Astyanax mexicanus: one gene and its partners. The protein of the gene in region 2 purifies or fractionates together with the protein of the main gene of each other region. This does not show direct contact. Links are inferred from orthologs where the notes say so. Each region holds a gene or a part of one and is shown on either strand. Other genes may lie near its edges.

Region 1 (7,957 bases), about 480 kb from region 2:
AGGAAGAGAGAAAAACAAATGAAAGAAAGAAATTACATTCTATATGAATTCTACAGGAGGACACAGACACTCATTTCTAGCACAAGAACGCAAATAATTAAAACAACAATGAAAAGAAATGCATCTCTGATAACACGTGTTCCTTACCATTATATCATAAGATAGCTTATCGGGTAAAGTGACAAGGCGCTCTTGCAAGCTTTCATAGTCTTTCTCCACTTTTTTCCTGGTAGACAAGGGAATAAATAGTCATGAGGTTTGCAATAAAGTCTGGAAGAGAAGAAATATAGACATTCCGACTGTCCCCCACACACCATTTTCTCAAAAATTTCACCATTGGCAATTCCAACTTGTTAGATAAGTATCTCACATTACTCATAATGCAAACAGCACTGGGTGAAAGTTAGAACGTGCTTTAGACAGTTAAATGCGGTTGCAGAAGAACACAAAAAGAAGACCTATCTGCAAGTTAACAGACATCCTTACTGACTAGCTTCAAGCCGAATGTTGAGGGTGGGCCATCCCATCCTCCCAGAGAGAGCACAATTTCCATTTGGAACCATTCAACTCACATACTAAAATTATAATGCCAAAACACTAAACATCTGTACAATGGATCTTATTTGTATACAGTAAACTTTATATATATATTTTTAAATAGCAGTAATTACCTTAACAAGTTGCAAAACAAGAAAATAGACTAACATTTTATGAATCTTCAGTAGGACCACTCACCAATGTGTTATCTGTCCTTTGCAGTCTTTCACCACCTGTTCATAGGAGTCATTTTAGAACATTGCAGAATAATGGACACAATGAAACATATAAAACAAACAATTTCCAACAATAAATCCTTTCCTAAACTAAATATATGGTTCCCTCAAATTAGTAAATTGTTTTCTAAATGCAACTAAAGCATCCACTCTAAACAAAAACAACATTGTGCTAAATCAAGAGAAAGGTCTGTTTATGCCTGCTTCTTTCTGGCAAAACACAGTATATAGAGTATTGTGCAAAAGTTTTAATTAGTGGGAATTACAGTATGAAAAGGCTTCTAATCTGGGCAGTAAGTATTTATTAGCTCAGTAAAAGGCTAGTATTACAATAAATACAAACAACAGGTTTATAGTGTTCATTCAGACATTTTCAGTAAATTTCCTTGTGTAAGTCTAGCCTTATTTATAGTCATAATCAAATCAACACCTGGTTTGGCAAATCAGAGCTTAATGATGTTATTTTAAGTGGACTGCTGATGGAAATTAACACATGCACATGCTGACTGAGGGCATCCACTAGAAATCTGGAACTAAACATTGTTCTTCAGACTAGCTCACAGGATATAATCTAGGATATTCTTGCTACTTTTGATTGCATTTATGATTTTTAAGATAAAATGAACTTGAGTACTCTTTATGAGCCTAAAACAAAACTGTGTGTGTATTACAAACCTTGATCATTTAGGGGCTCTGCGCTAAATACACCTGTAAAGAATACTTACCACTGAAACATACTGGGTCATTTTATTATGAGGATCAAGTATTAATTACAGATTTAGCTAAAATCTATTCAAAAACATACTTTTTAAAATGTTTCTTCTTTGAGGAGAGACAATATTTCAGTGTGTTCTTTTCACTTCAGAATTCATACATTCAAATGAATGTCCATACATCTCAAATAAGCAAATGTGTTTAACATCCTTATATGCCTTTTATTAACTGGCTCTTGAATCTAAATATTTTTTTTTTCATGGCAAAAATAGTTTTGTAAAGTTTTGTAAGTAGAAAGCATCACTACTAGGTAGTTAGCTAGATGGCCATTTTATGTGCCTGCTAAATTGACTTTACTAAGAATAGTTTTAACCCTTGCTAAATGCAAAATTATTTTAGACACATTACTGTTAAATTATTGAGAGTAATGACATATTATTTAGTAGGGGTAGAACAGTTAATGATAACTAACCTTAGCAAATTTAGGCAGCAAATTTAATAGCTTACCTAGATAGGTCTGCCATGTAGCAGGGTTGTAAAAAAATCAGGATTTTATTGAGAATTAGCTCTAAATTCCATTCAATTCTTGAATTGAGGTTGCAAACAGAAAGCAGAATTGCAATTCAGATTTGAATTAGATGAAATAGAACTGGATCGCACAGATTTTAATTATACACAATTAAGGTGTATTTAACATTGAATCTTTACAGTATATGTTACATATGATTACAACATTAATTTAATACAGATATTATTGAATGGATTACAAATTAACATTAAATACATAGTCTATAAAACCAATCATTGCAACTGTAGCTAATAACTTACAAATTAGGATATTTAGGAAATCTGAGGAACTGTTGACTATTAGATGAAACAACATTAGCCATCCTGTAAAGTACACAGTTTCATTTGATTAGTTTGAAATTAATATATTTTATATTAATTATGTAACATTAATGGAATGGATGCTTAAATGTTAGTGTCTGAAAATCCATCTGAAAGAAAATTTTGCTTTATGTTAAAAGTATCACACTCTCATTCATATGTAATGAGAATGAATTGTTCCACTTCTTGCAACTCAAACTCAAATTCAATTTAACATCCTGTAAGGTGGACTCAGTTTATTTTCATTTTCTGAACTAATTTAGATTATAAAACTCTGGATTTTGCACAGCCCTTATATTAATTTAACTGAACCCCAGCTGCCATGCAACACGTGACTGACCCTTTCTAGAAAGCACTAAGGTTACAACACACGGCAGCGAGTCAACTACGGTGTTTTACTTCATTAAACTTCACTATTAGCTAAAAACAGACAAACAGCTGCGGCTGAAGCTAATGAAAGCAAAGTTAGATGTGTGGAATTAACACACAGTAATGTGAACAGTGTAAACAGGATGTTTGCCGAGCTGCAAACAAACACAAACCGAAAGCGTCCACAGACAAGCCAAACCCCCTTTCTTTACCTTTCTGTGCTCCTCTTTCAGCCTCTCTACACCCTGCGGAAGATCATAATTTGCGTTCATATTTCCAGCCATTGCGTCCCGTGGGCCTCCTGTATCTCACACAAGCACAGATTGATTGGGTATATCCACCACCACCACCACCACCTCCTCCACCACACTCAGGGGTTTGAAGTCCTATAGAAATGTTTATGAATGCCAGTGAACGTATTCCTCAGCCCTGGTGTCCTTTTAGTCATCAATGAGGCGATAGAAACGGTCCAAATCGAGATTGAGACCATTTCACACTCGCATCGCACAAAATCTTCCTCTTCCAAAATTATTCCTCTGCTTATGTGCGTGCAATCCCCTCAGCAATGTCCGTCCGTCTGCGCCATGTTCGTCCCCCAACAAAAACACAGCGAAGACACGTGACCCGCCGCGCACCCGATTTGTAGAGGCAAGGCTCGGTCTGCGCATGTCTAAAGAGAACAGCGATCTACAAGTCAAACACATGCCCAGTTTAACACGATGTTTTATTTGAAAATCAAGGATTTCTTTTCTTTTTTCTTTTATTTAAAAAACAATACACTCTTCACACAACTGTAACATTCCCACTATGACTGGAGTGAGCTATTACATGAATACATATGTATACACAAAATACATCTGTGTATAAATTAAGAAATGTTTATGTTAAATAATAATAACGTTAAATAATCCATATGTCTATAGTTTAATAAAATATTTTTATATATATTTCTAAGTAAATAGAACATAAAAAACTATGATTTGGGCAAGGATTGTGAATTAAAGTTTGAACTTAAATAAGCAAACAAGCGTTTAAAGTCCGTATATGTCCTTAAAAACTGTCTCTTGAATAAATGTATAAATCTAATTTATTTTTTACGCCTTCTGTTTTGGAACAAAGCATGTGAAGACAGAAACTCTAAGTCACCACAATAACCTTTCATAATAATGTACTTAAGAACATAATTTAAAAAGCCAAAAATACCCCCATAAAATCAAATCTACATAAAAATAATGATATACTTATGCAAGTGCTATGCAAAATATAATGTGTGTGCTGTTTATTACAGAGATGTTCACAAGTATGTGAACTTTTATTTTGAAAAATCATGTTCCGGATCCCATGAACATGCTAGACCTTGTGAGGGGCGAGTAGGGAATCGTGAAGGTAAGTAGTAGGTTTTGATCGGTTTAAGTACTGCTGAAATTTCAGTGGTCAGACACTGTGTATGAAACAGCACAGCCACGGTTTTGTGCTCTGGTGCGATGCAGGGTTATAGAGGTAGATGTTGCACACCAGCATTGTTCTGTAGTTATTTGTTAATGATAAAAGCTTGCTTGCATTTTTTTATTCACAGGTGAAACAGAGCTGCACTCCTGACCACTGAGATGCTGGTCATAAACAGACATTTGAGGACATTGCTGCCCTGTGTCTTGAGATTTCAGGCAGCAACCAATGATGTTATGATCTTCCCCAGGACTTCCTCCCCATGTCCACTAACATGCCCTGCACTTGTACGCAGACACACCACGAACGAAAAAGCGCGCTCATACCTTCAGTACCTCAAAAGAAAAGTCATAGCCCCACCAAAACCTCCATACAGCCACGTGTGTCAGGTGGGCGACCCTGTGCTGCGCTCCAAGGCTGCAGCAGTGGAGCCCAGCGCTATTGGAGGAGCAGAGGTGCAGCAAGTGATTAAAACCTTGGTGAAGGTCATGCGCAGGCTGGAGTGTGTGGGACTTAGTGCACCCCAGATTGGTGTACCTCTCCAGATCATAGCTCTGGAGTATCCAGAGAAGATGCTGGAGGACAGCCTACCTGCTTCCATCAAGGCCCGTGGCCTGGTCCCAGTTCCCTTAAAGATATTTATTAATCCACAGCTGCGCATCTTAGATGGAGAGATGGTCACCTTCCAGGAAGGCTGTGAAAGCATATCAGGGTTCTCTGCCTCTGTTCCACGATATATTTCTGTGCAGGTCACAGGTAACAACCTTATAATCTTATAGTCTTATAATGTATAGCTTGTGAAGAGTGTATCTATCGTGATAACCATCTATAAACATTTCTTTCCAAAGGACTAAATGAAAAAGCAGAGTCGGTAACCTGGCAAGCAACTGGATGGCCTGCAAGGATACTGCAGCATGAGATGGATCACCTCGGTGGAGTTCTTTACGTTGACCGCATGGACAGTAAAACTTTCATTAATGTGAACTGGGAACAATACAATGAATAGCAGATCTGCTGATTAAAAGTTGGGAGTACACTTGTCTGGAAGCTGCTTTAAGTGACTTATTTCTGATAAAAATGGTCTATATTCATTTAATCACATAAAATATAAATTACATAATACAGTTGCTTTGTGTAATATTTTGGCTAATTTATACAACATTTAACAGAACTTTTAAGAACTATTAATGGTTACATGTGTAAAAAGCCAATGGTTAATGGTATAAATACGATATTGGCTATTTTGAGGACATCCAGTTATATGTTTTGTATACTGTATTTTTTTGTTAAACCTTTATAGCAATGTAAGGCTGTCCGGTAAATGAACTAGTTTCCTGCAAGTGTTAAAAAAACATGTGATAGTGGTTCAACTAGTTTTAAACTGGTCTTAAAACACTCAGCAGTAAATGATGAAAGTAAGATGTGTTAGTATTTGCAATCTACCTGCCTAGAACTTGGTGAAGAAAAAAAGCAAATACTTCTGAACTGTAAATTCTAATGGGTTATCACACACGACAAACATAATATTCCATATCACCTATTTTATTTATTTTAATATTTTTAGTAGCAGCAACAGTTGTGCATTAACCAAAGAGCAGACACCTCATTTTGCAAAAAAGGGTGAAAACAAAATATTATAAAAAGAAAAAAAAAAAGCAATCTGGACAACATTTATATAGGCACTTATATATATGGGCTTATTAAAGAAAAGAAAATCTGTTGACTGTGTGTCAGTAGTCTGATGTCACAACATTCACAACTCGTATAACACAATAGACATCAATGGTAATTTTGTGCTCTTGTTATTCAGTTTTCTATTTGTAGTGATGTTTTTTTTAATAATTATTTGGCAGTAGCAATAGAGTACAAATAATAGGTGTTTTAAATATGACAAAGTGCATTTAATCAGATCATTGGTGTCATGCAAAACCCTTGTACTTACAAAACAGCAACATTACAGGAGACAAAAAATCCTTAACCTTCAATTGAAGTTAATATAAAAAGCATTATATTGGTCCCTTAATCGTGTAATTTTGGCACAAAATGAAAACAACTGCCAGATTAAAAAATGAAACATGGCAAAAAATAGAGATCCAATGTTTTGACGTGACAGCAAAGAAAGTAAACTATAACTGTAACAACATATTTAAACAGCGGAGTGTTCAAATGGCATACCACACTTGCATTCCAAGGGATTCTTAAACCAACATTTTTTGCAATACTGGGCACAGCAGTACTTGCACAGTGTGTGAATTTTATGATATGAACATACAGCGCAAAATGCTTTTAGCCTCTCCATTTCATGTTTTCCCGAGCACTGCATATCACAGGAAATGGAGTGGAAGACTCTGCAAGTAACGCAAACAAAGATGGGCGGTTCTGAGGTACAGCACTCGTGGAAAGTTATGGGCCTAGAAGGTGTGCGCACTTCTTCTTTGCTCACTACCTCCAAATATCCCATCGAATGACCAGATTCTCTGCACCTCTCTACTTCCTTGCACAGGCAGTCATGCACTTTCTCACAGGTATGGCACACTATGTGAGGTTGATCTTCTGCCCTGAGGCATGTGTGCCTCCGTGGTGGGGCAGCCCCATCCCTCTCTTCCTGAGGTGGCTGTACTTTTCCTGTTTTTTGAAGGGTATGTTCCATAAGTTGACAGTACCTCAGACCATCACACTGAAAATCATGGATATTTTGGCAGTTGTGGCACACAAGGAAGACATCAGAGGTGGAACTCTGCATACAGCTATGCATCTTCAGGTTACCTTTGGGGGCTTTTTCCCAGTTTTGTGTGGGTTGTGGTTGCACATCCATTCCGTGTTGCTGTACCTTCCTTAAATCATGCCCTTGTTCACTGCATCTGTTCAACCACTGACATTCCAAGTTATGAATTTGCTTACATTGGACACAATAATAGGCATAATTGTCATACGACTCAAAGCACCTGCATATCTGTGGATCCACTTTTGAAACCTTGACCTGTGCACCACCTGTTAGTGTGGGAACTTGCTTTTCATTGTCATTCTCAGTTTTCAGTGGCTTTGGACTCAACTCTGTCTTCTGCGGAGGACTAATCTGGCAAGTCATCTTTGAGACACAGACAGGCTGTGTCTTACTAGTGTTTTCATCAATCTCTTTCTTTGACTGAGTAGTAGCCCTGAGTGACAGTGGTGTCCCTTTGGGTGGAGTGTAATGACTGTTGGGTGGTGCAGTCATGTGATTAGTCTTCGGCCATTCTCCAGGATCCTGATGGTCATCTGTGTATAAATCGAGCTCTGCGGAGGTATCATGCTCCGAGCTCTGTGGAGCAAGCTGCAGCTTTCTCTTTGCACTCTCCAGTGCAACTTGCAGGCTGTGGCCAAGCTTTCTTTCCCGAATGAGTTGTAGTTCCCATTTCACACCACTACCCAAAGGAACCACAGTGCCGAGCAGCTGACACTCCATGCGAGCAGTGAAGAAAGCACAAGCCAGCTGAAGAAGAGAGTCTGCGTGAACTGGTTTAGAACTTAGCCTCAGCTCCTCCTCTTCAGTGGTGTCTGCAGGCTGGTATCCTAATAATCTGAAGAGTTCTTCAGCTTGCTGTAATGTCAGAGCAGGTTTGACATAGTGGGTGAACATACCTGAAAACATCTGAAGAGAAGGAAATAAGTTACTTTGTGTAATGCAGTTAAATTATGTGCAGACTTAAATATAACAGATACGAAATATTTAAAATAACACTTTGACTTAGTAGTAAAAATAGAGGTTTAATGCCAAGACAGCTCAT
Region 2 (7,971 bases):
TTAACAGCAATTAATCAAATAATAAAACAATAGCCCTGAAACATATCCATGTGAGAGAACATACCTGGATCTAGGGGACATTCATTGAGTTTAGAAAACTCCATAGGTGTCTTGCCTGTCAAAACACAGTTGGAGCTCCGCAACATAATTGGCATTCTGAATGAAAAAAAAAAAAAACAAACCCACAATGCATGAGTTATGACTAGTGCTGTCAATCATAAGTAGTGCTGTCAATGCAAAGTTTGGCCACAAATTTTCTCTCATAATTAACACTTTTTACAGAGCCTGGTGATGTGTTAGTGATGTAAACAGCGTTTCTACCCATGAGTTAAGAAGGTAGATTACTATTTATTTATGATGAATTAACAAGGAAGTAAAACATTAAATGTCTATAGTCAGGCCTAATAAATTATGTTTGGTCTTCTTGAAGATACAGAAAACAGGTCTGTGTCTTCAGTTTGGTGGATGCTGGATTTAAAAAGAACAACATAATTACCTTCCAATGGGAAGTGCATTACGGATGATCCTCTGGCTGCCTCTGGTGTACTCTATGTCCACTGTAATGGGAGCGGAATAGGTCATATCTCTCAGACGACACTGGAAGGGAAAGATAAAGTGGGAACACATTATTATCAGTATTGTTTTATTCAGAGCATCTTGTATTTGAATAATGCCACACAGGAAGGCAAATGTATCATGAAGTCTTGGTCAAGGACACAATAGGGCATTTTCACATGTTTAGTTTTTTTTTTGCTCAATTTGAAGATTCGCAATTTTTCTATTGGTAAGGTTTGATTTTACACAGAAAAAAACCCAAGTGCACTCTGCTTCTCTAAAAACCATGTGAGAAGGCTCTCTTTGCTTATTAGTCAGACTTGTCTGGGGTGGAGCAAGAAATATATAAGAGAAAAAAGGTCCTGTGTTCCCGACAAGCATACATTTGCTCCAAAGACAGTTTGGGTCACTGTGTGGTTGCGTGGTTCGACATCAGCTATTTAAATGCTCTATTTACACCCACCAACCAAAACAAATCACACCATGGGTGAAAACAAAAATTAGCCTGATTTAACTGGACTATAATGTGCAAATGTGAAAATGCCTTAACACCTTATGCCTTGTCTGTGTAATTAAACACTTGTGTGCCACCTAGAAGATAGGGTTTGTACCCTCAACACCAACTTTGCATTTATAGCAGAACTGCAGACAAATAGTTCACAAATATTAATGGATTACCTCATGTGGAGACACAGGTCTGGTTACATTAAAGCTCTCTTCTACATCAGGCATGCCAACATAGATATTAAGGTACCTGTAAATGTATTATAGACAGTGAAGGAATTATTCTAAAACAATTAAAGAAAGTCAGGATGCATAAAGAATAATACAATCAGCTTCATATTGCTTTTTTAATTCTTTTCAACATTGTAGATTAATAATGAAGGCATCAAAACTATGAATAAACACATGTGCAATCATAAGCTAAACCAAAAAAAGCGTTAAACGAGCCAAAACATGTTTTACACGTTAGGTTCCTTGATTTAATGCCAACTTTGCCCACTCTTGGCATTATTCTCTTGGTCAGCCTCATGCGGTAGAACCTGGAATGGTTCGCAAACTGTCTTCTAAAGGTGCTAAGCTCTTGTTAACTGCTTTTCCTTTACTCTGTGCTCCAACTCGTCCCAAAGCACCAGGTTTGTGTTTTATGTCACATGTTTGTGATTCTACTTAAATGTATTTGTTTCTTTATAGTACTTAAGTATTTAAAGGTCACCTTCCGCGAAAATCCGATTTTTCTTGTTTTTTGTGGAATACAGTAGGTCTCTCCGAGTTGAATGTGTACACCTGCACATTAAACTGTTTTGCAGCCCCCATTGTCTGCAGGAGCTAAGCAAAGAAATCCCCCCTCCCCCCCTCCGAAAAACGGGTGAATTTTGAATTATCTTTCTGCCTACGTAGGCAGAAACTCACAGACCAGCCAACCTTGGCTCGAGAAACTCCCAGAGGCGGAGCTGAAGCGACGCAACATCACCGCTCATCAGTTAGGAGGTGGGAGGCAGTGAGCGGCAGAGCGGTGGAGGGGCGTCGCAGTGCTCCTAGCCAATCAGAGGAGAGATATTTGCATGCTGTTTGCATGTATGAATATTCATGAGCAAAGCTGGAATCCGGTCATTTTGGACACACCCCTAAAACAGTCCATTAAAAAAGAGCTATACAGAGACACCTGAGCACTTTTTTTTTACAAAAACGGCTCACATGTCATTCATTCATACTAGAGACCACAACTAGACATTTTAAAATGAAAGAAAAAACGACGGAAGGTGACCTTTAATATTAATCAACAATGTAGTAACAATACTAATAAAAAAAAACATTAATGAGAATGTGTCCACACGTTTGAGGGTACTGTAAATATGTATAAAAATGTATAAATATACAACAGAGGAGGGGGTCATACTTTAGGTACCACATTGGATCAGCATCACTTGTAACCTTCTCATTGGCCTTCATGATTTTCTTTATCTGAAAAGATCACAAGACATCATAAGTCTTAAACAGAAATCAGTGCTCTTCACACTTTCTTAAGAGACTCAATAGAAATAAACAGAATCATATTCCCATCTCAGTCAGCTTACCTCCACGTTGATGAAGTAGTTAAAGGAGTCAATGTGCTGCTTAACTAAACCTTTAACCTATAAAAACAAAAAAGGAATAAATATTTGTGCTGCCGGAGAAGTAAAACGAAGCAAACAGACCACCGTTTTATTGTATGAAGGCCCATAATACTGTTAACTTGCTGTTAAAGTGCATTTTAACTGTGGGGACATTAAAAGTTAAGTGTTTACCTTCAGAAAGGCAGGGAGAAGTTTCCATTTTTCCTATAAAGACAAACACAGGACAACTGTCTTAACATGTTTTATACATCATACCACTGTAAACACGTTTAATAAAGCTGTAGCTGTTCAAACACTTATGTAGTTAATTAAGTAGGTTAGCCAACTAACGCCCATGTCAGCAGTGCAGCTACTAGCTTAATCTGCTGCTGTTAGCTTAGCTTAGCACAGAGAGCTGGAGCATGGTGCTGCTGCTGCTGCTGTGTTGAAGCTGCTTTACCTCCACTGTGCTGACAGGAGCCGCGAGCTGCTGGGCTGACAGCTCCCCAAAATCCTCCCTCAGCAGGTCCATCACTCTGAACGCGCTTCACACATTTACACTACACGACACGACCTTAGTCCAGCAGCAGGACCTGAGCTACAGCTCCACATACATGTGAGTGTGTAGCGTAACACTGAAACGCTGCCGGCCTAAATCAAAACACAGGACACGGAGGAATGGTTCCGCATGTGCTCTATTATAGAAAATACTGAAATTTACAGTGAGATTTAACAATACTGTGCTGTATATATACCATATATACCATAAAACGGTAATAAATATTACCAGAGGCACCTCAAAGCTTTGCACACCTTGGCTGGATTTTCTCAGCCAGCTTTATGAGGTAGAGCCACCTGGAATAGCTTTCAGTTTATAGCTGTGCCTCGTCAAGAGTTAATTACTTGAATTTCTTGTCTTCTTACTGTTTGAGAGCATCAGTTGTAAAGTTGCAAAGAGGTAGAGATAGGAAGAAAGAGCAAGAGTTACATCTGTTGCCCAGGTTAAATTCATCAGATTTACCAGAATCAGAATCCACAAGTTAACAGATGAGATAAAGCCACCTGTTTTGGTTTGTTTAACACTTTTAAGTTACTACATGATTTCTTAAGTGTTCCTTTATAGTATGGATTACTTTAGTATTCATTTACAATGTAGGGGAAAAAATAAAAAAAAATAAAAACACTGAATAAGAAAGTGTGTCCAAACTTTTGACTGAATGCCACTGGGAAGCCAGGGTGCTTAGCTCTGATACATCAGCTAGCAGATGGTTGTGCTGACCAACATTACATTGGGAGCTTTGTAGTAGTGATGGGTCTGACGACACTGAAACTTCAGCGCATGCACCGAGCAAACAAGGCGAACCCCTGTGTCGGACCGCGTATCATTTTAAGGAAAACCACGTGACCGATGCATTTCCTCGCGCAGTTGCTTGCAATGACTTTCTTAGTCCAGCAGATGTCGCCATTAAGTGATACAGCAACACAGTTTCAACACAGTGTCGATACAGTTTGGGAAATGTGCCATACACCCCATGAGGCTTCATCTGCCCATCACTACTTTGTAGTGAGAGCGGCCATCTGCCCACCCAATGAGAGTAATTGTGCTCTCTCTGACTCTGGCTGCTGACAGCAAGCACCATGACACATGATTTTAAATCACTGAAAATCAGATTATAGTCCACTGAACCACTTTATTCATAGATTATACTGCCTTAACATTAAAACCCCTTTATTCTGCCAAAACAGCTCGTCCCATCAAGGGACAGAATCTGTTAAATGCTGTAAGTTGTAAGATGGGGCCTTCATGGATTGCATTATTGCACCAAGGTGCCCTTGGCCCTTTCACCAGTTTCCCACATATCCTTCCTTAAAGCATTTTTGGTAGGTAGTGGCAGACCTGCCCAATGTTTTGGAGATGCTCTAAACTTAGTCAGTCATTTTGCCATTACAATCTGGCCAGAGATTCCTACAATCAACTTCAGAAACTGACTGTTCACTTAGTGCTTAATATGTATATCCCACCCCTAGACAGGTGCCACTTGAACCAGGTAGTGATGGTATAGAAAAAGTTATCAATGTTATTTACATCATCAGTCAAAAATAAAAGGTGAAATTCTAAATACTGTTGTCCTGAACCTGTAAACTAAACAAAGACAAAAAAACGCAACTTCATTAACAAAGTCAAAAAGCTTTATTTGCATTAAGACAAGTACATTAGTAAAAAGTAACTCGTTATGAGATCACTCTTGGTTTAAAAAAAAACAGTTAAAACAAAAAGTAAAGCATTTCTAAAGATTTCTTGTAAAAAGTTAAAAGGGCATTTTAGATATAAGAATAAACATCTCAGCAGCTCAGTTCTGTACTGATTTCTACAGAAACATGTTATTCACAATACTGAGAGGCTGCACATCTTCTAATTATGGTTGCTAATTTAAAACAGTGTAAGCTGCAAAAGAACAGACAAAGCTATGAGTAAAACAGAACTGCACTATCTGCTCTATAAGTGTCGGTTGTTGCTGCTCAGTAGTTTGGGATAAGATGTCCCAATGGAGCGTCCGTGTCTGTGAACAACCAGCTCCAGCTGGTACTCGTCCAGGTTAACCACAGCAGTGGTAGTCTTCTCAGTAGAAGTGAGGAAGAGTATGCTGAAAACAGCCATCTCAAACTCTGGACTCACACCCAAGAAAGTACTGCCTACAGGCTTGACCAGACCATGCCAGCTGAACTGCACATTTAACACGTGGTCATCCTCGTCCGGCTAAAATGGGACAGAAACAGAGACATTTTTCAGTGGAGATGAATAGGAACTAAGCAAAAAAGTGACTTTTTAAATATGCAGTTAAACTAGAATATAATCTATGATAGATCTAAGGAAATTAGATCCTCCTGCACATTTTTATTCAGATTTTTAGACCTTACGCTAATGTAAGAAACAGAAGTATGGCGTTTATATACAATTAATCAGTTAACTGCAGTAATCTGATTTAGAATGTGTATGTAAATGCACTCTATGCATGTATGTTAGTGTGGGGGACAATACCACATCGTTACTCCTGGCTTTGTATCCCTTGTAATCAAGAAGATTCTGCTTTTCCTGAAGATAAAACTGGACCCAGTTGTGAAGGCCCATAATTTCTTTTCCAAACTTGGTCTCACCAACGAACACATGCTCAAATCCACTGGAGTCCTCCCTAGTAAGATAGAGAGAAAAGTAAAAGAAAAAAACATGTCATGTTGGAGTAACTGTCTCTACTGTCAGGAGGAGACTTTCTATTAGATTTTGGAGCATTGCTGTGAGGGGGCTACACAAGAGACTAGAAACTAGACAAGCTGTGTGTGTGTGTGTGTGTGTGTGTGTGTGCATTTGCACATCATCTGTCAGCAGTGGGTGCAACTTAAAGTTGTTGAATGCACTTGGACCATACAAACATTTGAACATACAGAATATATACAGAAAATGCTCCATATTGTATATCCAAAATTATAGTGAAAACATAATTATTTGTGAACTTTGATATGAAAGTGTTCTATATATTTTTAAACATATATATATATTTTTAATTCAGCACACACATTGAATATGTATTAAAAAGTGCTTATACGTGTTCTCCATAAAAATGTTACATTATTTTCACCTGAAATTATAAATTACATATCATTGAACAGAGGCAGTCAAAGTTTTGCATAAGACTGTACACATTTTTGACTCTTGTTTTAAACCACAAAATATCAAGGATACTCGCGTACATATGAGAGAAACTTACCCTCCGTTTCTATCTCTGTGATAAAGACGAAACCACATGTAGTACAGCTGACTCTTAAACTGCCTCAGATTAGACTGAGATTTGCCTTTATTCACTAAATACTGATGAGCACGCTGAAAAACAGAAAGAAGAAAAAAAAAAAACAATCATGTCCTAAACTAATTAAACAGATGTTAGTGTTATTCACTGCAGTCAGAACAAAACTTCACATTGCTTTGGACAGAATTCTACTTTCCCGTTGCAGCTTCCAAGAACACAATGTGACAGAACGAAACAGCATTCCCACTGGAATCTACTAAACATTGGCTTACCAAGAACAGCAACCACAGTAATGTGCTGCAAAAGCTGCAGGGTTTACAATGTTGTTATATAGTCTTACGCTAAAGTAATGTTCTCAGCATGTTATGACTTCATTACGCATTCGTACACAGTGCTTCATTGTCTGGTACTTTAGACTGTAATCAGAAAGTCATTCAACACAGCTGAGCACCATGACTGCATATACAAATAGACAGTGATGTTTATATATACCTTCATGACTGCAGACTCTAAAACAGCATCCAGGAAAGCGTTATTCTCTGCTACTTCCTCAGAAGTAACTCTTTCAGCCACACCAGTGGACCTTTCATAATTGTCCAGCAACTTCATGAAACCTATAAGAAGTCAGATAGTGAGATGCTTTGACTGCAGTTTTGTGCTTCAACATTACTTGATTAAATGTTAAGGCAGTGTTTCTGAGCTAACTGAGCATTTTACTTCATGATGGTTAGAGTGAGAGTTAAAATATGATATACAGCTCTGGAAAAAATTAAGGGATCACTTCAGTTTCGGAATCAGTTTTTCTGATTTTGATATTTATAGGTATATGTTTGAGTAAAATGAATTGTTGTTTTATTCTATAAACTATGGACAACATTTCTCCCAAATTCCAAATTAAAATATTGTCAATTAGAGCATTTATTTTCAGAAAATAAGAAATGGCTGAAATAAGAAAAAAGATGCAGAGCTTTCAGACCTCAAATAATGCAAAGGGAATTTCAGAAAAGTTCATATTTATAAAGTTTTAAGAGTTCAGAAATCAATAGTTGGTGGAATAACCCTGGTTTTAATCACAGTTTTCATGCATCTTGGCATGTTCTCCTCTACCAGTCTTACACTCTGCTTTTGGATAACTTTATGCCACTCACGGTGCAAAAATCCAAGCTTTAAAAAGGTCAGCTTGGTTTGAAGGCTTGTAATCATTTATCTTCCTCTTGATTATATTCCAGTTTTTAGTTTGGTAAAATTGACTCATCATTTTTAAGTGGTCTCCTTTTTTCCAGAGCTGTAGTTGATTAATATTAATTTCCTCCTCTTCTCAGAAGCCAGTAGTATTCTGGCTTAAACTTCTTATTTTAGCACATGAAATGATGTGTCATTGTTTTTGGGTGCATGGTTGGAAAAACATTAAACATTACAAAGTTTATTGCTACAAAAAAACACACACAGGCTGTTTTAAGTAACGCAGGGCAGTACTAAATAACACTATGTGGAACAAAGTGCAACTTAAACAAGTT
Region 3 (8,541 bases), on a different chromosome or scaffold from region 2:
AGCTGAAGATGTTCAGTATAAATAAAGTAAAAGTAAAGTACAGAGGGTCTCAGAACAGCGTTAGTAAGGATACTATCTCGCGAGCAGCTCCGTCACTTCTTCTTTAGTCATCACTATGTGTTCAGGAACAAGCTGGAGAAATCACACAATTACAAACAATTACAAATTTACATACAATAACAAATGTTGTTCTTTCCTAGACAGGCACGATACTTACATCAACTTATCCTACAATATATGGGCCTATTTTTACAATATGCTGCAGTGCCTAACATATTTATATTCTCACTCATATTATATAGATGTACTACACACAGAGTGAGCTATTTTAAGCGGTAATTTCTGTTATTGTTGATGATTATTATGGCTTACAGGCGTTGAAAACCCAAAAATCAGTATCTCAGAAAATTAGAATATTATATAAGATCAGTTGGTACTTTCTGCAGTGTGGGCAGTGTGCCAAGTCCTGCTGGAAAATGAAATTCGCATCTCCATAAAAGTTGTCAGTAGCAGAGGGAAGCATGAAGTGCTGTAAGATTTTTCGGGGAAAAACTGCACTGACTTTAGACTTGATAATAAAACACAGTGGATCAACACCAGCAGATGACATGTCTCTCCAAACCATCACTGATCATCAGTAAGTTTTACATTTCATTTGTAAATTAATGGAGCAGAGTCTGGAGGAAGAGTGGAGAGACACACAGTCCAAACTGCTTGAGGTCTAGTGTAAAGTTTCTACAATCAGTGATGGTTTGGAGAGACATGTCATCTGCTGGTGTTGATCCACTGTGTGGAGATGCAGATTTCATTTTCCAGCAGTACTTGGCACACTGCCCACACTGCCCAAAGAATCGATTTTCGGAGATACTGATTTTTTGGGGGGTTTTATTGGCTGTGAGCCATTATCGTCAACAATAAAAGAAAGATGCTTAAAATAGGTCACTCTGTGTGAAATGCATCTATGCAATACATGAGTTTACATTTTTAACTTTTTAATAATATAAAAATTTTAAATATAAACATTTTAAGATGCACCTGTATATGCTATATACTGTGGCCAAATTTGACAAATGACAAATATACCAATAGAAAAGCTCCAAAATGTTGTTCAACAAAGTCTTTTTACTTTTTATTTTGACTTCCACTGAAATGTTAAGATATTCTTTTTCCCATTTTTTGTATTATATATTTGCATATTTTTGGCGGTTTAAAATATGTACAATTCCTTGATTTTCAAACTTTTATATTTAATGCTTTTCACAAAGTCTCTGATAAAACCTGGTTATTTGATAGATTAATACTGTATGTTTTGAATACTTACAGTAATAATATTATGATTTTCTCACCTCGTGCTCTGTGATGTTGATGAGAAGCTCCTGCTGAAGAAACTGCTCCAGAATATACTTTGGTGCCATGTCCACCAAAGACTGCAAATATAAATACACAAACAACAGCATTCAGAGCAATATAATACTCTTCAGTTGACTTAAAAGACCGTAATAATTCTACAGATAAAATATACATTCTGAGAACTGTAATTGTTAAAAAGTTTAAATTGGGTGGAAGTGCGTATATTTCTACCTGTTTGGCAGATGGAGTCATGCCCATCTGGACTACAATAATGGCGCGGGTGATGTTCTCCTCCTGCATTCGCTGGCAGTACATCTTAATAGTCTTAATGCCCACTTTGGGCTCCTCTGTATAATAAAAAAATATATAACAAAAACACGATGAAGTATAAAGTGATTTAACTCACATATTCACCCTAATAATCCAATAAACACTACACAGCATGTTCTCCTGCACGGTGGTGCCAACAAGAATTCCAATATGTGATAAAGCAGCTCACCAGGAAAGAAGACGAACATCTGGTCGGTCGGATCGTCATTGTGAGCCACCAGCACTGTGAGATCTGTCCTCCTGGGTCGGCCCTCGCTCGGTTTGTCTCCAAACTGGCTTTTAAACTCATCCAGGGTCTGATCCAACTCATCCTGCGTCACCAAGTATCCTCGATCATGGCAAAGCTAAGAGAAACCAAGAATTAAAATATCAGGGTTAGAACATCAACAACATACACCTTCATTACTAGCACATTTTAAGGCAAAGCTTCATCATATACTACAGCATGCAAGAAAAAAGGGGTAAAAATTTAATTTTGTCATAATTATGACTTTTTTTATGACATTATTAAATATAGGCCTTAACTGTCTAAAAATAAACCTCATGCGCTCTTTTACTGTATTTTGTCTGTTGTTGTCTGAATATTGTACAATTTTATAATATTTTTCAGATTCACCAAGAAAAGTACAGAGTTCCTGAAGTATCAAAGTAAAAAAATTACTATTTAGAAACTTAAAAATGTATTCCTTCGAGGGAATTATATGCATGCTAAGAAATAAAGCTCAAGACCAGTTTTGCTGGAATCTGGTTTAAAACTATTTAATTTAGGCTGGTCTTTAATGGACAGTGTGTTTGAAAAACTTGTGAATCCAGGTAAAAACTTACCTAATGTTTGATTTTGGTCAAGCTTGATCATACTGGTTATCAAGATAACTAGCATGGTCAAGCTTGTAGACCAGCTAAACCACCAACCTCAAATAAATATATACCCTAAACTGATCAAAATCTCTATTCAAAATCTAAGCTGGCCTTATTTTTCCTACCTTAATGCATATTACAATTCTGTAGATATATACACTACTACTCAAAAGTTTGGACACACCTTCTAATTTATTTTTTTTCCCACATTGTAAATGAACACTAAAGTCATCCAGACTATTAAGAAACACATACGTAATTAAGTTGTAACTTAAAGTGTTAAACAAACCAAAATACTCTGTGAAGCATTTAGATGCTCTTATCTGGGGTTCTGTTAACTTGTCGATGCTGGTAACTCTGATGAACTTAACCTATGCAACAAAAGGAAAGTCTTGCTCTTACTTTAAAATATAAAACACTTAACAAAATAACACAATTTGTTTTTATTCATAGTTTGGATGACTATCTATCTATCTATCTATCTACCTATCTATATGTTAGATTATATAAAAAGAGGTGAAATAAGGTTAAATAAAGCTCTAATTTCAGCTCCGTCACACAGTAAAAACACGCTGATAATCAGCGCTGAGTTTAATCCCCGAGCCGAACCTGCATTATAGTCTTCCTGATCTTCCACAGGCGGTAGGTCTCCTCTTCATCATCCATCACCGCGATCTGAGACTAACAACCTCTTTATTAACCTTATTTACTCAATAATACACTGATATTTCTCCCGATCCACACACTACACACTACACACACACACACTCAGCTTCCGAACAATCACACCACGTGACCACCAGCCACAGAAGGACCCAAACACGGGCGTCCAGTTACTTTCCAGAGATATTTTGTCAGCTCGTGGATATAGTATTATTATTATTACCGTTAAAACACGAACTGCTGTGTTTAATAATATTAACTTTTCATTTTCGTATTTGTTGTATAATGATAACATTAGAACTGGAAAAGTAGAACTGAAAAATAGAAAGAACAAAACAGAACAAAATTTAAAATAACCCTTATAAAAAAAAGCAATGTTAAATAAAACAATTATATATTTTTTTTCTTTTCTTTTCTTTTTTTTGAGTAAAGCAGGTTAAATATAAAAATATAATTATTTATAAAATGAATAAATAAAAAATAAAACTACTCCGAGCCTACCCACTCCCTTTGCCCCGTTATCACTGCCTACCGCTAGAGGGCGGCCGCGAAGGAGTTTAAAATGAATGGGGTGAATGAAGCTAAATAGCTAAAACTCAATAAAAAAATTTTAACTAACTACTTGTCCAAGATAATCCTTTAATTTCGGAAAGTATATTAATGTATTTAGTTAAAATTGCAAATAAATAATAACTATATGTTTTAGTTTTTCTTCAGTAAACGGGTTTTAGGCAGTAAAGGCGCTAGCATTGCTGCTATTGTGGAAGCTCAACTGGAGTTACAGTTAGAACACGGAGTTTAGAAGTTTTACAAACGTTATAACATATATATTTAATAATAATATTAAAATTTAATAAAAATGTTTAATAAAATATTAAACATTTGATATTGTTCTGTGTTGAGAAATCTATTTTTTTTTGTATAAAAATGTATAAATTTGTTCAATTTCTTCTAATTATAACCTCTATTATAAACTCTATTCTCTGATTATAATATTAGAACCCAGCAGGCACTGTTACATGTTGTGACAGCCTGTTTCCTTACGACGTTGTCACAATGTCTTTAAATATATAAATGTGTCCAAATCTAATCTTGTGAGTGAGAGGTAATGTTATGTAACGTTGACTTTGTGGCAACATTGTAGATACAACATAAACAGTGCGACCTTTAGACATTATAACTACAATGTAAGAAAGTACACAACAGTTTAATGTGTTTTCTGGAAATCTGCATGAAGAATTGAGTACTGTATAGGCCTAGTGTATAATTAAGTACTTGAGTTTTCGGTGTGGCAGTGTCAACATATTTTTCTGACATGAAAATGTGCAGGGAAACGATGACTTGCTTTCTGCCAGTCTCTGGGGAGCTCCTGTTTGTTTTGTGCTGGGCACCCTGGTGGCAGAATAGTAGCAGAGGAGGTGAGGTTATGAAAGTTATGTCTGAAGAATGTAAGAAATGCGGTGGTAGGCCATAAACTAGTGCATCTCAAACAATTAGAATAGCATTAAAAAGCTACTTTATTTCAGTAATTTAGGTCAAAATGTGAAACTCATATAGATGTATTACATACAGAGTGATCTATTTTAAGCGTCTATTTCTTTTATTGTTGATGATTATGCCTTACAACCACTGCAAACCCAATAATCAGTATCCGAGAAAATTAGAAAATTATATTAGACCTGTTGGTTTTTTTGGCAGTGTGCCAAGTGCTGCTGGAAAATGAAATCTGCATCTCCACAAAAGTTGTCAGCAGAGGGAAACATAAAGTACTGTAAAATCGCCTGGTATAACCTGCACTGACTTTGGACTTGATATAACACAGTGGATCAACACCAGCAGATGACATGTCTCTCCAAACCATCACTGATTGTGGAAACTTCACACTAGACCTCAAGCAGCTTGGACTGTGTGTGTCTCCACTTTTCCTCCAGACTCTGGTCCATTGATTTCCAAATGAAATGCAAATTGTACTGATGGTCAGTGATGGTTTGGAGAGACATGTCGTCTGCTGGTGTTGATCCACTGTGTTTTATTATCAAGTCCAAAGTCATGCTTTCCTTTGCTAACAACTTTTGTGGAGATGCGGATTTCATTTTCCAACAGCATTTGGCACACTGCCCACACTGCCGAAAGTACCAACTGGTCTTGTATAATAATATATAGACCGTTTCAGAGGAATATTCATGAGCGCAGGAAGTGACGTAGCTGTTCCTAGGACACTTCCGTTTTGCGGTAAACACTGTTCAAAACAGTGGATGTAATTTAATTTAAACCTTGCCATACACTCTGTTCCACAGCCACAAGAACTGCTGCAACATGACTGCAAACTAAATAAATAAATAAATGTTAAAATAAATAAATAAATATATAAATAAATGCACATATAAATGAATAAATAAATAAATAAATAAATTAAAACATGCATAAATAATTGTATAGGTTAATAAATACATTTCTTATTTATATATTTATTTATTTATTTATTCATTTATACGTGCATTTATTTATTTCAACATTTATTTATTTATACATTTATTTATTTCAACATTCATGTATTTATTCATTTACTTATTTTAACATTTCCACATTTATTTATTGGTTTATTTCCACATTTCCACATATTTATTCATTTACCTATACCATACCTGTCAAGTCTCCCGTTTTGGCCGGGAAACTACCGTATTTTACTCCTCTTTCCCGCCGTCCTCCCGTATTAGTATTTTCCCGTAAATTTCCCGTATTATACTAAATAAAAAAATATATAGGCCACAGGCGACAATGCACTGACCGCTGTGTCTCTTAACCAATCGTGGTGCCGGTTCAAGGAGAAAGTCCCGCCTTTCAGGAGAAACAGCCAATCAGCTAGCTGGTTTTGCGGAGCGCAGTTTAGTATGCGGGAAGCCCCGCCCCTCCCCTCGCTGTGAGTTCAGGCAGCTAGTCGGAGCAGCTGTCGTTAAAACTAATCTGGATATACGGAGATTTTTCTAAAAGAAAGGTAATTAACCATGTAAACTATGATGAGATTGTTTCTGATAGCTGGTTAAAAAAGACTCTTCTCTGAATCAAAACATAAATTAAACCCACTGTGTGTTTAATAAAATACAGCTTGTGACTCAGTTAGCTTAACTTTAGAATTAGCTAGATAGATATTCAGGGTTTGAGAAAAATCTATATATATATATATATATATATATATATATATATATATATATATATAATGCCCTGCCCTGATGTGCCTGATCAGCCAATAACTATCATTTCCAAACTCTATTAGTTCAGGGCTAGTTTTAGGGTTTGTTAGAATTTGTTTAAATCTCAAGTATTGTGGTAATGTATTATAATGTAATGTAATGTATTATTTAGAAGGGGTAGAAGAGATGGTTGAGCTGGAGAGAGAGAAAATGTGGAGAGGGCTGAAATTAACTGAACTGATCAGGAGTGGACTGAACGATAGAAAGAAGTATTAATGAAAGATTATTAATTGTGTAGGCCCCTTAGGACTATTATTTACTTATGGAATATATCTGATCCATGTCCTTTTTGTAAATTTGTGCACCCTTCAATTTCAATTTAAAATCTATTAAATAAAATATATATATATATATATAAAAAAATAAATCGTCGAAGGAACAGACATGCGCAGTAGCTTTGTTATTGTTTTCCTCATTGAAACGGTCTATATATATTTTTTTTAAGAAACTGGTTTTTGAGTTATCATTGGCTGTTTTCTTCAAATACATAAAATTACTTAAAATAATTTATGCTTATGTGATTTTGTACTTTGCCCCCTTTAAAGAGATACCCCTCGCTGCAGAACCACAAGTCCAGGGGGTGGGGCTGGATCTGATCCAAGGGGTGGAGCCTGACCTCCTGACCACCCATATCTTCTTTTCATTGGTTTTAAGTCATCGCATTTCAATTCGTCGTTAAACTTAACACGTGTCGCTTACGTTTCCCGACCAGGACTTATTTTATCTTATCAAATAAATCCTGGAACCCAACCTTAAGACTTTTACCGTTTATAGATCAAAATGTTATTTGCTACGTAGCACATTTAAATCACACAATACAGATTTAAAAGAAGGAACATGTCTGTGATTACAAACATAATAAAATGCTGTACATTTCCTATATAAATATTAACTATTTCATTTTTTATCTTTAATAAAAAGGGCCTAAAGACAAAATAAAAAATAAATAATTAAAATAAAGGATGCCAATGAGTGTCTTATCTACCAGCTACCATGTTCATTTATTATTACAGATATTAATACACAATCAAAACGGCGAACAGAAGCAATCAGATTTTCAATTAAGTAAAATCACCCAACGAAACTAATTAATAGTATTAGCAAAATGAAAATGTGTCTATTATGAACTTACTTTCACGTTCGTGATTGTTTACTTGACTCCGAAAGGCGAGTGAGTAAAACCGGATGGGGAAGAGTCCGATCTGCTTCAGACCAATGAAAACACGACGTAGGAAGAGTTGGATCAGATCCAGCCCCACCCCCTGGACTTGTGGTTCTGCAGCGAGGGGTACTTGCCTTTAAAAGGAGGAGGTTATGGGTGGGCGGGGTTTCTGGGTTGTGTTATCAGAAATGATTGGCTTTTTAAGGAGTGAGGGGGCGTGGCTCCGCAGGTTGCTTGATCCGATCAAAATGCAGTTAGTCCGTCAGGCGCTGCTTCTGGGGCTGCTGGGTGGAAAAGGCTTCAGCAGAGCCATGGTAAGATCCGCGCTGCTGCTCTTCTGCTCCTGTAGCTGTTTATTACTGTATTACTGTGTATTTAACAACGGACGGGGACTGTGGTGATGACCTTGTGTGTGTGGTGTTTATTTTTAGAGCGCTTCCGCAGCTGCGCAGGTGTTTCTGTCAGGATAGCTTAGCTTAACTGGCTACGGTGGGAACGAGCATTGGCGTTAGCTTAGCAATTAGCTTAGCATTAGCTTTAGCTGGGTTTGGCCAGCAGAACTCACCTGGGACAGGACTGGCTGTGTTTTTGTAGCTAGCTAATGCTAATTGTATCTTTTTTTAGTGGTTATTATTCATATTTATAGGCTATATTGTATGTTTAATCTTGCGTTAGTTAGCTTAGCATTAAATATTGCTAGTTGTTTAGCTAAGCTGAATGTGTTAATATGTAACGGTAACGTTAGTAGCTTAGCTAACTAACCTAGTTAGCCTACTAACTGTCAGATTTTTATCTACTTTACTTTCCAAACATGTGGCCAATCCTTTTATCTAGCCTCATACAGTATATATAATTTAAAAATGCAGATTATTTTAGCTAGCTTGCTAGTTAAGATTACCATACTGGGCGTTTTCTGATGTAACGTTA

Evidence for each region. Proteins that work in one complex are often made in the same cells at the same time.
Region 1: the proteins of polr3b (region 2) and uri1 purify together in Homo sapiens (affinity purification with mass spectrometry; 4 studies listed by BioGRID and IntAct, with this or other methods). This does not show direct contact. The link is inferred for Astyanax mexicanus from reciprocal best matches to the Homo sapiens genes POLR3B and URI1.
Region 3: the proteins of polr3b (region 2) and polr2ea purify together in Homo sapiens (affinity purification with mass spectrometry; 7 studies listed by BioGRID and IntAct, counting the BioPlex papers as one, with this or other methods). This does not show direct contact. The link is inferred for Astyanax mexicanus from reciprocal best matches to the Homo sapiens genes POLR3B and POLR2E.

The regions. Positions count from the first base shown.
Region 1 is NC_064416.1:20,396,270-20,404,226, reverse strand, and holds the start of uri1 (unconventional prefoldin RPB5 interactor 1), read right to left. Parts: upstream 3,366-7,957; 5' UTR 3,029-3,365; coding exon 2,957-3,028; intron 771-2,956; coding exon 736-770; intron 227-735; coding exon 148-226; intron 1-147. Other genes in the region: pdf (peptide deformylase, mitochondrial), read left to right, coding at 4,352-4,946, 5,039-5,196; spata2l (spermatogenesis associated 2-like), read right to left, coding at 6,337-7,821. UniProt on the Homo sapiens protein: Involved in gene transcription regulation. Acts as a transcriptional repressor in concert with the corepressor UXT to regulate androgen receptor (AR) transcription.
Region 2 is NC_064416.1:20,872,915-20,880,885, forward strand, and holds the start of polr3b (DNA-directed RNA polymerase III subunit RPC2), read right to left. Parts: upstream 3,298-7,971; 5' UTR 3,184-3,297; coding exon 3,112-3,183; intron 2,877-3,111; coding exon 2,844-2,876; intron 2,691-2,843; coding exon 2,634-2,690; intron 2,521-2,633; coding exon 2,456-2,520; intron 1,310-2,455; coding exon 1,234-1,309; intron 598-1,233; coding exon 497-597; intron 157-496; coding exon 65-156; intron 1-64. Other genes in the region: endouc (uridylate-specific endoribonuclease C), read right to left, coding at 5,149-5,409, 5,692-5,842, 6,416-6,528, 6,947-7,068. UniProt on the Homo sapiens protein: Catalytic core component of RNA polymerase III (Pol III), a DNA-dependent RNA polymerase which synthesizes small non-coding RNAs using the four ribonucleoside triphosphates as substrates.
Region 3 is NC_064411.1:48,868,123-48,876,663, reverse strand, and holds the start of polr2ea (DNA-directed RNA polymerases I, II, and III subunit RPABC1), read right to left. Parts: upstream 3,366-8,541; 5' UTR 3,205-3,365; coding exon 3,148-3,204; intron 2,025-3,147; coding exon 1,850-2,024; intron 1,698-1,849; coding exon 1,582-1,697; intron 1,428-1,581; coding exon 1,347-1,427; intron 133-1,346; coding exon 74-132; intron 1-73. UniProt on the Homo sapiens protein: DNA-dependent RNA polymerase catalyzes the transcription of DNA into RNA using the four ribonucleoside triphosphates as substrates.